Ovis aries: one gene and its partners. The protein of the gene in region 1 interacts with the protein of each later gene in a pairwise test. Links are inferred from orthologs where the notes say so. Each region holds a gene or a part of one and is shown in the gene's direction. Other genes may lie near its edges.

Evidence for each region. The genes of interacting proteins can lie anywhere in the genome.
Region 2: the proteins of BCL2L13 (region 1) and TMEM86B interact in binary tests that used the Homo sapiens proteins (3 or more experiments, as listed by UniProt). The two-hybrid records come from large-scale screens. The link is inferred for Ovis aries from reciprocal best matches to the Homo sapiens genes BCL2L13 and TMEM86B.
Region 3: the proteins of BCL2L13 (region 1) and PLP1 interact in binary tests that used the Homo sapiens proteins (3 or more experiments, as listed by UniProt). The two-hybrid records come from large-scale screens. The link is inferred for Ovis aries from reciprocal best matches to the Homo sapiens genes BCL2L13 and PLP1.

The regions. Positions count from the first base shown.
Region 1 is NC_056056.1:214,941,209-214,944,856, forward strand, and holds part of BCL2L13 (bcl-2-like protein 13), read left to right. Parts: intron 1-1,422; coding exon 1,423-1,530; intron 1,531-3,648. UniProt on the Homo sapiens protein: May promote the activation of caspase-3 and apoptosis.
Region 2 is NC_056067.1:63,010,526-63,014,087, forward strand, and holds TMEM86B (lysoplasmalogenase TMEM86B), read left to right. Parts: upstream 1-1,042; 5' UTR 1,043-1,064; coding exon 1,065-1,115; intron 1,116-1,383; coding exon 1,384-1,636; intron 1,637-2,230; coding exon 2,231-2,613; 3' UTR 2,614-2,941; downstream 2,942-3,562. UniProt on the Homo sapiens protein: Catalyzes the hydrolysis of the vinyl ether bond of choline or ethanolamine lysoplasmalogens, forming fatty aldehyde and glycerophosphocholine or glycerophosphoethanolamine, respectively and is specific for the sn-2-deacylated (lyso) form of plasmalogen.
Region 3 is NC_056080.1:129,376,652-129,380,399, forward strand, and holds the start of PLP1 (myelin proteolipid protein), read left to right. Parts: upstream 1-892; 5' UTR 893-1,001; coding exon 1,002-1,005; intron 1,006-3,748.

The DNA.
Region 1 (3,648 bases):
ACTATGGTGGTCTGTTTTTAACTTTCTGAGGAACCTCCGTATTGGTTTCATATTGACTGTATCAGTCACAGCCACGTGTATCATCTCCGTTTTCATCGACAGTCTGCTACCTTGCCAGTCTTTGTTATTTACTGCCTCTTTAGTAATAGCCATTTTGACAGGTGCGAGGTGATAATCTCAGTGTGGCTCTGATTTGCATTTTCCGGGTAATTAGTCATGTTGAACACTAATGTGTGCCTGGTGGCATCTTTGTGTCTTCTTTGTAAATACCTATTGAGGTCCTCTGCCCAATTTAAATTGAGGCTTTTCTGTTTTGGGGTTTTTTTAATGTCCAGCTGTATGTGTTCTTTATATATGCCAGATATTATTGTTCGCAAATATCTTCTATTCATTAGGCTGACTTTATGCTTTGCACATGGTTTTCTTCACTATGCAAAGGCTTTTTAGTTTGATGTAGCCCCGTTTGTTCATTTTTGTTTTTGTTCCCTTGCCTGAGGAGACATAGCCAAAAAAATTATGCTGAGATCCATGTCAAAGTGCATACTGCCTGTTTTCTTCTAGAATTTTATGGTTTCAGGTCTTATAAATCTTTAATCCATGGATTTGGGGTGGTTGTGTTTCCATTTGTCTCCAGGTATTTTTGATTTCCATTTTGATTTCTTCAGTGGTCCATTGGTTGCTTAGTAGCATATTGTTGTAGGTAATGTTTTAAAATTTTTATTTATGTAGTTTCAGCTATTTACATAGGCAGAAATGTTAAATCAAATGTCATTTAATCAGATAAATATTAACCATGACCATGAGGGGATCCTTTCTGTTGCATTTGTGGTAGAAATACCTAAGGAATTTTATATTTTCCACGACAAAAACCCTCTTGAGGGTCCGAGTTTTATTTTGGTTCGCTGTCCCTTTGTTCTCCTTTCCATGCTACAGAGCAGGCCCTTCCTGGCCTTCTACTGCAGGAGGGTAGCTTTTGCCTCCCACTGGGTTATGCTCCTGGTTTCCCTAAGTTGGAAGATACACATGCTTTGTTGATCATAGGCCTTCTCTTGGAATGCAGTTTGCATGAAGATATGAAGGTAAGGGAACATGATAGCCTTTCAGGTTTTCTTCTCTGTTATGTCAGCAATGTTTCTGAGCAGACTTCTTCCTAGCAGCCCAACCGGAAGCCGAGGACACAGGCTGAATTGAATTGGTGGTTCTGTCCACGCTGGCCTGAGGCCTGAGCTCCAGTCACGGCTCCTCCAGGGGTGGGCTAGCGGTGCAACCTGCCTGGCCTCAGCCTCCTCATTTTTAAGATTCTCCTAGCCCTTGGGCATGATAATGAGTTTTGATTTTGTACTTTCTGACTTATTGCTTAAACATCCTATCCATGTTCTAATGTTTCTGTCTTTCGATAGTAACCTTTCTTGTTGTTTTCAGGGGTTCAGCAAGATACAGTTTCACAATCTCTGGATCAAGAAGTTTTATTAAAAGTTAAAACTGAAATTGAAGAAGAGCTCAAATCCCTGGACAAAGAAATTTCTGAAGGTCTCTTTATTCTTATTTCCTAGTTAATTAGTGGCTCTGTTTGGTGTGGCTTCATTTGTTTTTTTATAGTCAAGTGTTCACAGCATTACATAACTTCTTGGGTCTAGGATTATAGTGGTGAAACTAGAAGGTACCTTTTCCTTTCCTGGGGCATCTGTTTATATTAATAAGTTTCCACAATATACCCAGCAGATGAGATGGACCCTTTTCTGGTGTTAAGTATTGGACTAATCAGTCATGTTAAGGTACTTTCCGTTCAGTGTGATTTGTTGCTTTATATTAACAACGTTAGAGAGAGAGCTGCCAGTGTGCTGCCTTCCTGCTCACGCATATATTGTCGATGGCGGTCGCAGCAGTGTGCCTGTGATGCTGTGGCTACAGACTTTGTGCTTAACATTGAATCGTAAACTTTAAAAATGCGTATATCAAACGAAGATTTACTCAGTCTTTCCCTTATTTATGGAGGGGAGCATGTGGGTTATTTCTTTTTAAAAAATTATTTTTATTTTGCTTTTGGCTCTGCTGGGTCTTCGTGGCTGCACACAGGCTGTCTCTAGTTATGGTGAGAGGGCGTGCTCTTCACTGGGGTGTGTTCTTATTACCGAGCACAAGCCCCAGGGCGTGCAGGCTCACAGCTGTGGAGCAGGGGCCCAGTTGCTCTGTGGCTGCAGAATTTTCCCAGACCAGGGATTGAACCCATGTCCCCTGCGTTGCAGGCGGATTCTTAATAACCACTGTACCACCAGAGCAGCCCTGGGTTATATCTTGCTTTGCTTTCCATAAATAATTTTTGCAGCTTTATTGAGATATATACGAAAAATTTATCCATTTAAAGGTACACAGTTCAGTGGTTGGTATGTTCACAGAATTGTACAGCCAGCATCACAGTCTAAAGTTAGAGCATTGTTCACATCCCCAGAAGAAACACTGTATAACAGTTAACAGTGACTTCCCGTCTGCTCCCACTCCCCAGCCATCCTCACCCCCAGCTAATCTGCTTCCTGTCTCCCTGCATCTTCCTGGGAGGGTCTGCATGTAAGTGGAGTCACGCCCTGAGCCGTGGCTTGTGGCTGGCTTCTGTCACTTAGCACAGCATTTTCAAGGGTCATCCACACACGTGTTTTATTTGATTTGATAAGATTTTATTTCCTTATTTGATTTGATTTATTTTGATTGATTTGATGGAATGGGATCGGATTGATTTGATTTGACTGAATAACAGGGACTGTTGTAAATCAGTGTTTAGTGAGGTGGTGGTGGGCTGTGGGGAGGGGGGAAGCTCTCTGGGACCCTGTGGTTAGATCTCAGTCTTCAGTGAGCTTCTGCCTCTGGGCTGTGAACTTCGAGCCAGTTTCTGAGTTTTTTCCCCTCCCCCTCAGGTGAGATAGGAGGGCTAGAGTAGGTTGGAATTGGAAACAGGCATACCTCAGAGACACTGTGGGTTTGCTTTCAGGCCACTGCAGTAGAGCAGATGTCTTAATAAAAAGTCACATGAATTTTTTGGCTTTCAGTGCATATGAAAGTTATATTGGCAACATACTGTGTTACACTAATTGTGCAGTAGCATTGCCTGGATTTACTTGATTTATTGATGGGATTAATTCAGATCGATTAGATCGGATTATGAATGGATCGTATTGATGGGATTTGATTGATTTGATTTGCCTCCCGTTACTGCTTGTAGGATCATAGTTCTCCAACTAGGGATCAAATCTAAATCTAGGCCACTGCCGCTGGCAGTGAAAGTATTGGTCCAAACTAGTGGACCAAGGAAGAGAAGGAACTGGCAACCCACTCCAGTATTCTTGCTGGAGAATCCTGTGGACAGAGGAGCCTGGTGAGCTGCTGTCCGTGGGGTCGCACAGAGTCTGACACGACTGAAGCAACTTAGCATGCATGCATGCATTAGAGAAGGAATTGGCAACCCACTCCAGTATTCTTGCCTGGAGAATCCCAGGGACAGAGGAGCCTGATGGGCTGCCGTCTATGGGGTCGTACAGAGTCGGATACGACTGAAGCAACTTAGCAGCAGTGGACCAAAGAATTCCCTGCCCGGTAATTTTTAACAAGAAAAAATAGAAATCATGTCTATAAATCAGCTCCCTGTTAGTAAGGAAA
Region 2 (3,562 bases), on another chromosome or scaffold:
GGTGCAGCCCAGCTGCCAAGTGCCCTTGTCCCAGCCCCTCTCCCCAGGCGGGCGTGAGTGTGCGCGTGTGTTCGTGCTGAGCTTCTGTTTCATATCGCAAACGTAAACAAATAAAGGAGGACAGTTTAAGACTCGTGCTGCTCAGACATCGAGTTCGGGGACATGGGGTCGGGGAGCCTGAGCTGGTCCCACACCAGGGCCTCCTGGGTGGGACCCTCAGAGCGTCGAATTAGAGTCCTTGGCCTCCTTGCTGCCTGGTGGTGGGAACTTCTGCTCAGCTGGGAAGGGTTTCCTGGAGGAGGCGCTGAGCGCTCATTGGTCCCTGGCCCCACCCCCGCACCCCACCCCCCGTCCACAAACACGGGCTCCAGGCTCCGGGTGTTGTGGTGGGCTTCCTGCCGGCCCCTTCTCAGCCCCGTCACCCGCATGCCCAGAGCCCTTTCCCTTTGGTGAAGCAGTGGGAGTTGGAGGATTGGGGGCAGCCAACCAAGCCAGACCAGGCACGCAGGGCCGTGGCTTCTGGCGGAGACCAGCTGTGCTGTGCGCTGTGGCTGGCTGGACGCGGGGAGCCGTCCCTGGAGCCGCCTGTGGGCTAGCACACTGCCCGGTGCCGCTGTCTGCTGGGCAGGCCTTCCCGGAGGGGGGGGGGGCGGGGCGGGGCCGGCTCCTGAGGGACGGCCAGGCGGGGTGGGGGGGGCGCGAGGGGTGGGAGCGCCGCCGGCCCTTCCCCCTCGCTCATAGAGGAGCGGCCCTTGGAGTTCTGCGCCCCCTTCCCTCTGAGCCGCCAGGCGCAGCCGGTGGGAGGGGCGTGGCGGCCAGGCTCCCTAGGCAAGGAGGAAGCCGGAGGCAGGGGCCGTGGAGGGTGAGATACCCTGGGGTCGCGCGGGCGCTATCAGCGGTGCCAAGCAGGACTGTCCCAGGGCGGGGCAGCATCTCCCTGAGCCTCTTATCAGCCCCAGAGTCCACAGGACGCTCCTGAGTTAACGTGTAACCACACGCCATCCCCACCACCCTCAAAGCCAGCAGTGCCCACATGCAGGCCACTGTGGGGGCTGCAGGCCGACATGGACGCCCGGAAGGAGGGGCTGCCCCGGAAACCTCGCTTCTCAGCTCAAGTGAGCGCCGCAGAGTTGGGGACCGGGCCTGGGCTCCTGGGGACGCAAGTGGCCTGCAAGAATCGGGGGCGGAGGTGGGCCAGGTTCTGTGAGCCTGGACGTCCTGGTGCCTGTGCGTCTGCCCGCTGCCCTGGGCAGCATGGCTGGGGTCCCCGGGCAGGGCTGGGCCTAGCGCCCAGGGGCCAGGGGCGCTCTAGAGGGGGAGTGGTCCCGGGAGCTGGGGGTTGGGCTGCGTTGCAGCTGCTCAGAGGCCTCCTTACCTCCAAAGCACCCACAGCCGCGCGTGGGCCTGGGGCTGCTCCCGTTCTTCCTCGCCTGTGCCGTCTACCTCCTCGTCCAGAACTCCACGGACCAGCCGTCCTGGGTCAGCGCCCTGCTCAAGATCCTACCCATCCTCTACCTGGCGGGGTTTCTGGGGACCGCGTTCCCCTGCGGGGGCTACCGCTCGCTCCTGCAAGGGGCCCTGCTTTGCTCGGCCGTGGGGGACGCCTGCCTCGTCTGGCCTGAAGCCTTCCTGTACGGTGAGAGCGGGTGACGGGATGTGTTGCCTTGTCCCTCTTGGATGCCCCCCCAGCGGGTGGAGGGTGGGATGCCGTGGTGGGGGGATGACTCCCCAAGAGAACTCCCTGGGGAGCCCATGGCCGTGAGGAGACGCACCCAGACCCCCGCCCCCACTGAGCGCCTCCCACATGGGTGCGGGCGGTGTTCCCGAGGCCGCGTGAGCGTGCAGGGTTTCGAGCACGCTGCCAGAGGCCAGCCTCACCGGGAAGGTAACGCCTGAAATGGGGCGTGAGTACCAGCCAGGTGCCCCTGCAGGCAGAGGGCTGGCAGGTGCAGGAGCCAGGGTGCGTGCAGCCACTGGGGCCACCGCAAGCTGGGGTGTCCCTCTGCGGGCGGTTCGGAGCAGAGCTGCATGGAACGCGGTGCGCGCCTGAGGCGGTTTGGGGGCCAATGGCCAGAAGAAGGGATGGCCGAGTAGGCCACCCTGGGAGACGGGGCGGTACCGCCAGGGTGGGAGCTGGCGCTGGGGGTCCGCCCTCTCCCTCGGGGCGAGGGCGACAGGGTGAAGCCAGAGAGCAGCACGCTTTACCAGGCGCCCCCCGTATCTCCTGCAGGCATGGCTGCCTTCGGCCTGGCCCACCTGTTCTACCTCCGGGCCTTCGGCCTCACGCCCCTGAAGCCTGGCCTCCTGCTGCCCCTCCTCCTGGTTTCCAGCCTCTACTTTGGGCTCCTGCATCCTCACGTCCCGCCCCACATGGTCTGGCCCCTGCTGGCTTACTCCATAGTCCTGGTCGCCATGCTGTGGCGGGGCCTGGCCCGGGGCGGGAGTGCCCACTGGGGCGCCCTGCTGTTCGTGCTTTCGGACACCGTGCTGGCCTGGAACACCTTCACCCACCGTGTGCCCCATGGCCACCTGCTGGTCATGACCACCTACTACTCCGCCCAGATGCTCATCACCCTGTCAGCTTTCCAGAACCCCAGGCTCAAGTCCCACTGACTTGGGGCTGAGGTGGGCAGGCGTCCACCCTCTCTCCTCCTGCAAGGACCTGGCCCTGTGCCCTGCCCCCCAGAGCAGTGAAGCCAGAGAAACAGCCTTGGGGGCGAGAGTAAGGCCCCCAGACTCCAGTGTACCGGTGCCGGTTCATCTGGAGACTAAACCGTTTCTGGAGTTCCGAGTCCACCGCCTTGTGATTTCCAGGCCCTCAGCCAGACCCGCGCTGGGTACCCCCAGCCCCTGGCCTACTTCTGTGACTCCAAATGCTCTCCGCCTTTCATGGCCCTGATTTATTTTTCTGTTGCTTAAAGTAAAGTGGGCGTTGAACCAGCGACATCACCGTTCATTTGGGGAGGGGTGATCACAATAACAGCAGATAAGTAATTTTCCTCCCTCCCCACCCCCGCACAGAATTTACCATTTTCACCACTTTTAAGCCCGTGATTCGGTGACAGTCCATTCGCGGGGTTGTGCTTTGAACAGCTGCTTCGGGCCCTCCCTTGGGAACACATGTTTGTGTGTACAACGCAGTGATGTTACCTCTGCCCATGGTGGGCTGCTGGTGGCCGAGCCCTGGTGCCCAGGACTTGGGGGTGGGGGTGGGGGCGTGGAGTAACCCTCCTCCCCGGGGCCCTTTGATGGCGGCGGGGATTCATCGTATTCATCGTGTCCTTCGTCCAGATGAGGACGTTACTGAGCTGAGGTCAGGAGGAGGCTGGCTGACGTTAGTTTCCTGTGGCTGCTGTCAGAAATTACCATAAGCTGGGCGACTTAACAGAAGTTAAACCTCACAGTTCTGGGGGCCGCAAGCCCAAATCCCTGGTGTCAGTGGGGGTGCCCTCCATTCAGGACACGCTCGGGGGAGGGTCCTTCCTGCCCCTCCAGCTCACGACAGCCCAGCCAGGCTTCCCGTGGTGACCTCCCTCCTTGAGGCTGCCCTCCCCTGGGGACA
Region 3 (3,748 bases), on another chromosome or scaffold:
CAGCTCTCTCATGACACTCTCTTCTGAGGGTGGGGTAGTGACTATCTAATTCCCAGATTGTGTTCTGTCAAAGTCAGTTACCTTCCATGGAGATCACCCACATCCCCAACTCTCGCCTTTCTTTTAGCCTGTTCCATGAACCTGCACAGCGTGTCTGCTTGCCCCCTCCCTGGGTCTCCGTTACCCTGTCTATAAAATGATTACAATTCTAGCTTTCTCCAGCTTGGTCAAAATCTGTTCGAGGAATCAACAGCTTGTGTTTTGTCCTCATTCAGTTGAAACCAGGAAGGATTTGGAGGAAATTATTTTTAAAAGACAATTTTTTTCTCTATTGTGTTTCTAAAACTGGAATGGGAAGAGTTGGGAGAAGCAATTATTTTCTAAAGAGTGGTGGGGGGAGGGTAAAGGCGGGTAGGGTCAAGGGCAGCTAGGCGTGAGGGGTGGTGTTGGGGCAGAGTTAGAAGGACTAGGAGGTCACATCTAGGCTTTTGACCCTGACTGCCTCACCAGGGCTAACACCTTTATGGCCTCCGACACTTATGCTGCCACATCTCATACCAAAATAGACCCAAGGATCAGTTGGATTGCAGGACCTCTTTCTTTTATTTCCACCCCCAAACCACATTTCCAGATGTCTCTACAGCAAAGCGAAATTCCACATAGGCAAGCCTTAGGGGAGGGGGGAAAAGAAAAAAAGAAAAAGAGACAATTGGCACTGAAAAGCAGAAAGAGAAGATGGAGGTCTTAGAGAAGGGAGTATCCTGAGGAGGTGGGGACAAGGGGAGGAGAAGGGGAGGAGGAGAGGAGGAGGAAAGTGGGCCTGTCCCTTTAAGGGGGTTGGCTGTCAATCAGAAAGCCCTTTTCATTGCAGGAGAAGAGGACAAAGATACTCAGAGAGAAAAAGTAAAGGACCGAAGAAGGAGACTGGAGAGACCAGGATCCTTCCAGCTGAACAAACAGACTAGCCAGCCGGCTACCATTGGAGTCAGAGTCCCAAAGACATGGGTGAGTTTCAAAAACTTTAGATTGGAAGATTCAAAGCCAGAGCATAGGAATTTGCAAGAACTTTGGGGTTCAGAGTTTCTAATGGTTGAAATGAATTGTGTTCTGGCACTTGTTTTCTTTTTCATTCCTTAGCACGCAATTCGATTAACTCCTTCTCTGCTGTACTGAGAATGATGCTTTATTGCCACAGAACTCCAGCAACACATGGGGAGTCCCACAGGTCGTTGGAGAGAGTGTCTGCAGGGCTGGATGTGGTCATGTGTCCTCCTACCCCCTTGCTTCCCTCTGCCTTCTCTTTTCCCCTGATCCCCATGTCCTGGTAATGGCCTGGTCAGCTGACATCCTTGGTTCTGCTGGAGGCAACTCATGCTGGCTGGCTCTCAGCTGTACAAAATGACTGCTTGCTTGAAACAAAATTTGGACCCTGTGGGGCATCAGAATGAAATTGGGCGTCATAGATTCAGGCTTCGTCATGGCTGAGGAGGCCGATGTCAAGTTCAGGAAATGAAAATAAAGTCCTCAATGGCTTTACCATAAGGAAGAGATATGGGTAGGGCTGTGTGTGTGTGTGTGCACGCATGCACCCATTTGGGTTACCATATCTAGTAAATATTACAGACTAAGCTTTCCTGAGGGCATGACTCAGATTTTAAATCCCTGCTATGACAAGGAGGGACCTTAGGGCTCTTGCTGACTTGATTGAGTCCTGAGGGCATCTCTGTAGAGAGAAGCTACATGGTCTGGTCTCTTGTAGGGTCCGCTCAGTGCAAGATGTACAGAGCACAAGGATTTTTGTCCATACAGGAGGCCACAGAACCATGTAGACATTGCTCACATTTGCCAAAACAAGAGCAACAGCTTGAATGTGTCCTAAATGAAATGAGAATCAACTGTCCTGTGTATTCACCATCAAATGTATTACCCAGAAGGTTCCAAAAGCATCTACAGAGATGGGTTTTCAATTATATTAGGCTAGTGTCAGTTTTTAGGTTGTTTCATCCTGAAACACTGAGAGAGCTCTTGAGGCGTGTATTCAGGCAGGATAATTAAGGCATGAGCACTGGACTAGAAGTGAACATAATGAGGTGCGAATCCCAGATCTGCTACTTATGAACTTCGTGACATTGGGTAGGTTGCTATGAATTATTACTTCATCATCTGGAAAATAGGGATAATGATAATTGCTTTGTCTAATCTCAGAGTTATAAAAATAAAAAATAATATGTCGGAGTCCTTTGAAAATGGGCAAACTCTGTAACAGTTGTAAATAATAATAATACTAATTATTATACAATGATGCATGTACAGGCTGTCTCTTATTCTTCCTGAAGTGACTGAGCTTTCTTTGCATGTACTTTGTGCACTTGGGTAAGAATTTTCCAGTCAAGTGGGGCCAGATGAGAGGTGAATATTGCAAGAACTCAATTCCTGTCCTAGGTAATGTCAAGAACCTTACCTGAAGTCAGGGCAGCTGATTGGGTAGGTTGTGAATGAAAAACAGAGAGGGAGTAAGGAAGGATGCTGAATACTACTTCCTCAGGGAGTAAAAGCCCTGAGGAAAAGACAGGAAAAATCAGGTGACCATAGGGACATTTTCCTGTTACAGAGGCTGAATGATTTTCTCCAGGGAAGATTATTGCAGATGAGGGCACAGCCGAAGCTGTGTATGGGATCTCTTATTCTGAGGGTGAGCCATACTTGGGCTAGGTGCGCATGATGGAGTAGCCATTATGTTCTCAGTTATGCAATAGCAAAGTATTGATATTTCAAATACTTTGTAAGTATAGACCATCTCTAGCAAGGTACTGGACTACTACTGCTTCTGACAGGGAGTGTGTTGCTGTCTAACTCTTGCACTAGACAAATTATATCATAGAATCTGGGATTGGACTGGAAGGAACTTTAGAAGCTGTCTGAGCTAATTCTCAGTGCAGAATTCCCTTCTCCAATGTTCCTACAGCTTCTTCTTCATCATCCCCAGGAACAGGAAGCTCACTACCTCCACCACAAAGAATCAAGTAGGATCGGAAATGAGGAGGAACAGGGAATTCTGTAGTGTTCACACAAAAGATTTACAAGCGACATGGTAGTTCATTAAACCTTTTCCTGATTTGGGAGAGGGATGTTCCAAACGAGTCCTTCGGATAACAATGGAACTGGAAAAGAGCCAAAGAGCAGTAGCTGATTATTCTCTGCTTAGCAACACAATGCCATTACTGAACAGCAAAATATTGGCTCTTGCAAAGCCTGATGTCTGAGAACAGTGGCTGTTACCCTGGTAACCAGACTATGATGCTTCCCTCCAAAGGTGGCTGTTTGCTGAGCAGTGTAGTTTTGGCTGGCTCACAGTGTGAGTGCAGCCCAGGCAAAAAGTGTGGAGGCAGAGCAGGGGTCCAGGTTTTTACAAAACGCTTGAAGACTAACTGAATCTCATCATGATGGCAAGAAGACTGCAAGAGTGCCAGGAGCTAAAAAGAAAGCAGATGAAAACCAGCACATTCACTTACTTTTCCTAGAGACACTGACTAAAATGACCATATGCACCCTGCCCCACCCCACTCCTCACCTCGGCCTGGCAGAGCCAGAGGAGAACCAGGCAGATTGAAAGGTCTGCTCAGCTTCAAGGGCCTTTTGCCCTGGCTTTCTGCTAGGAAAGCCAGAAATTTACTCAATAACCTGCCAACTAGAACTACGCTCTCAAATCTCTCTGAGTAATAAATAGACCCAAGAAACCCTTGAGAAA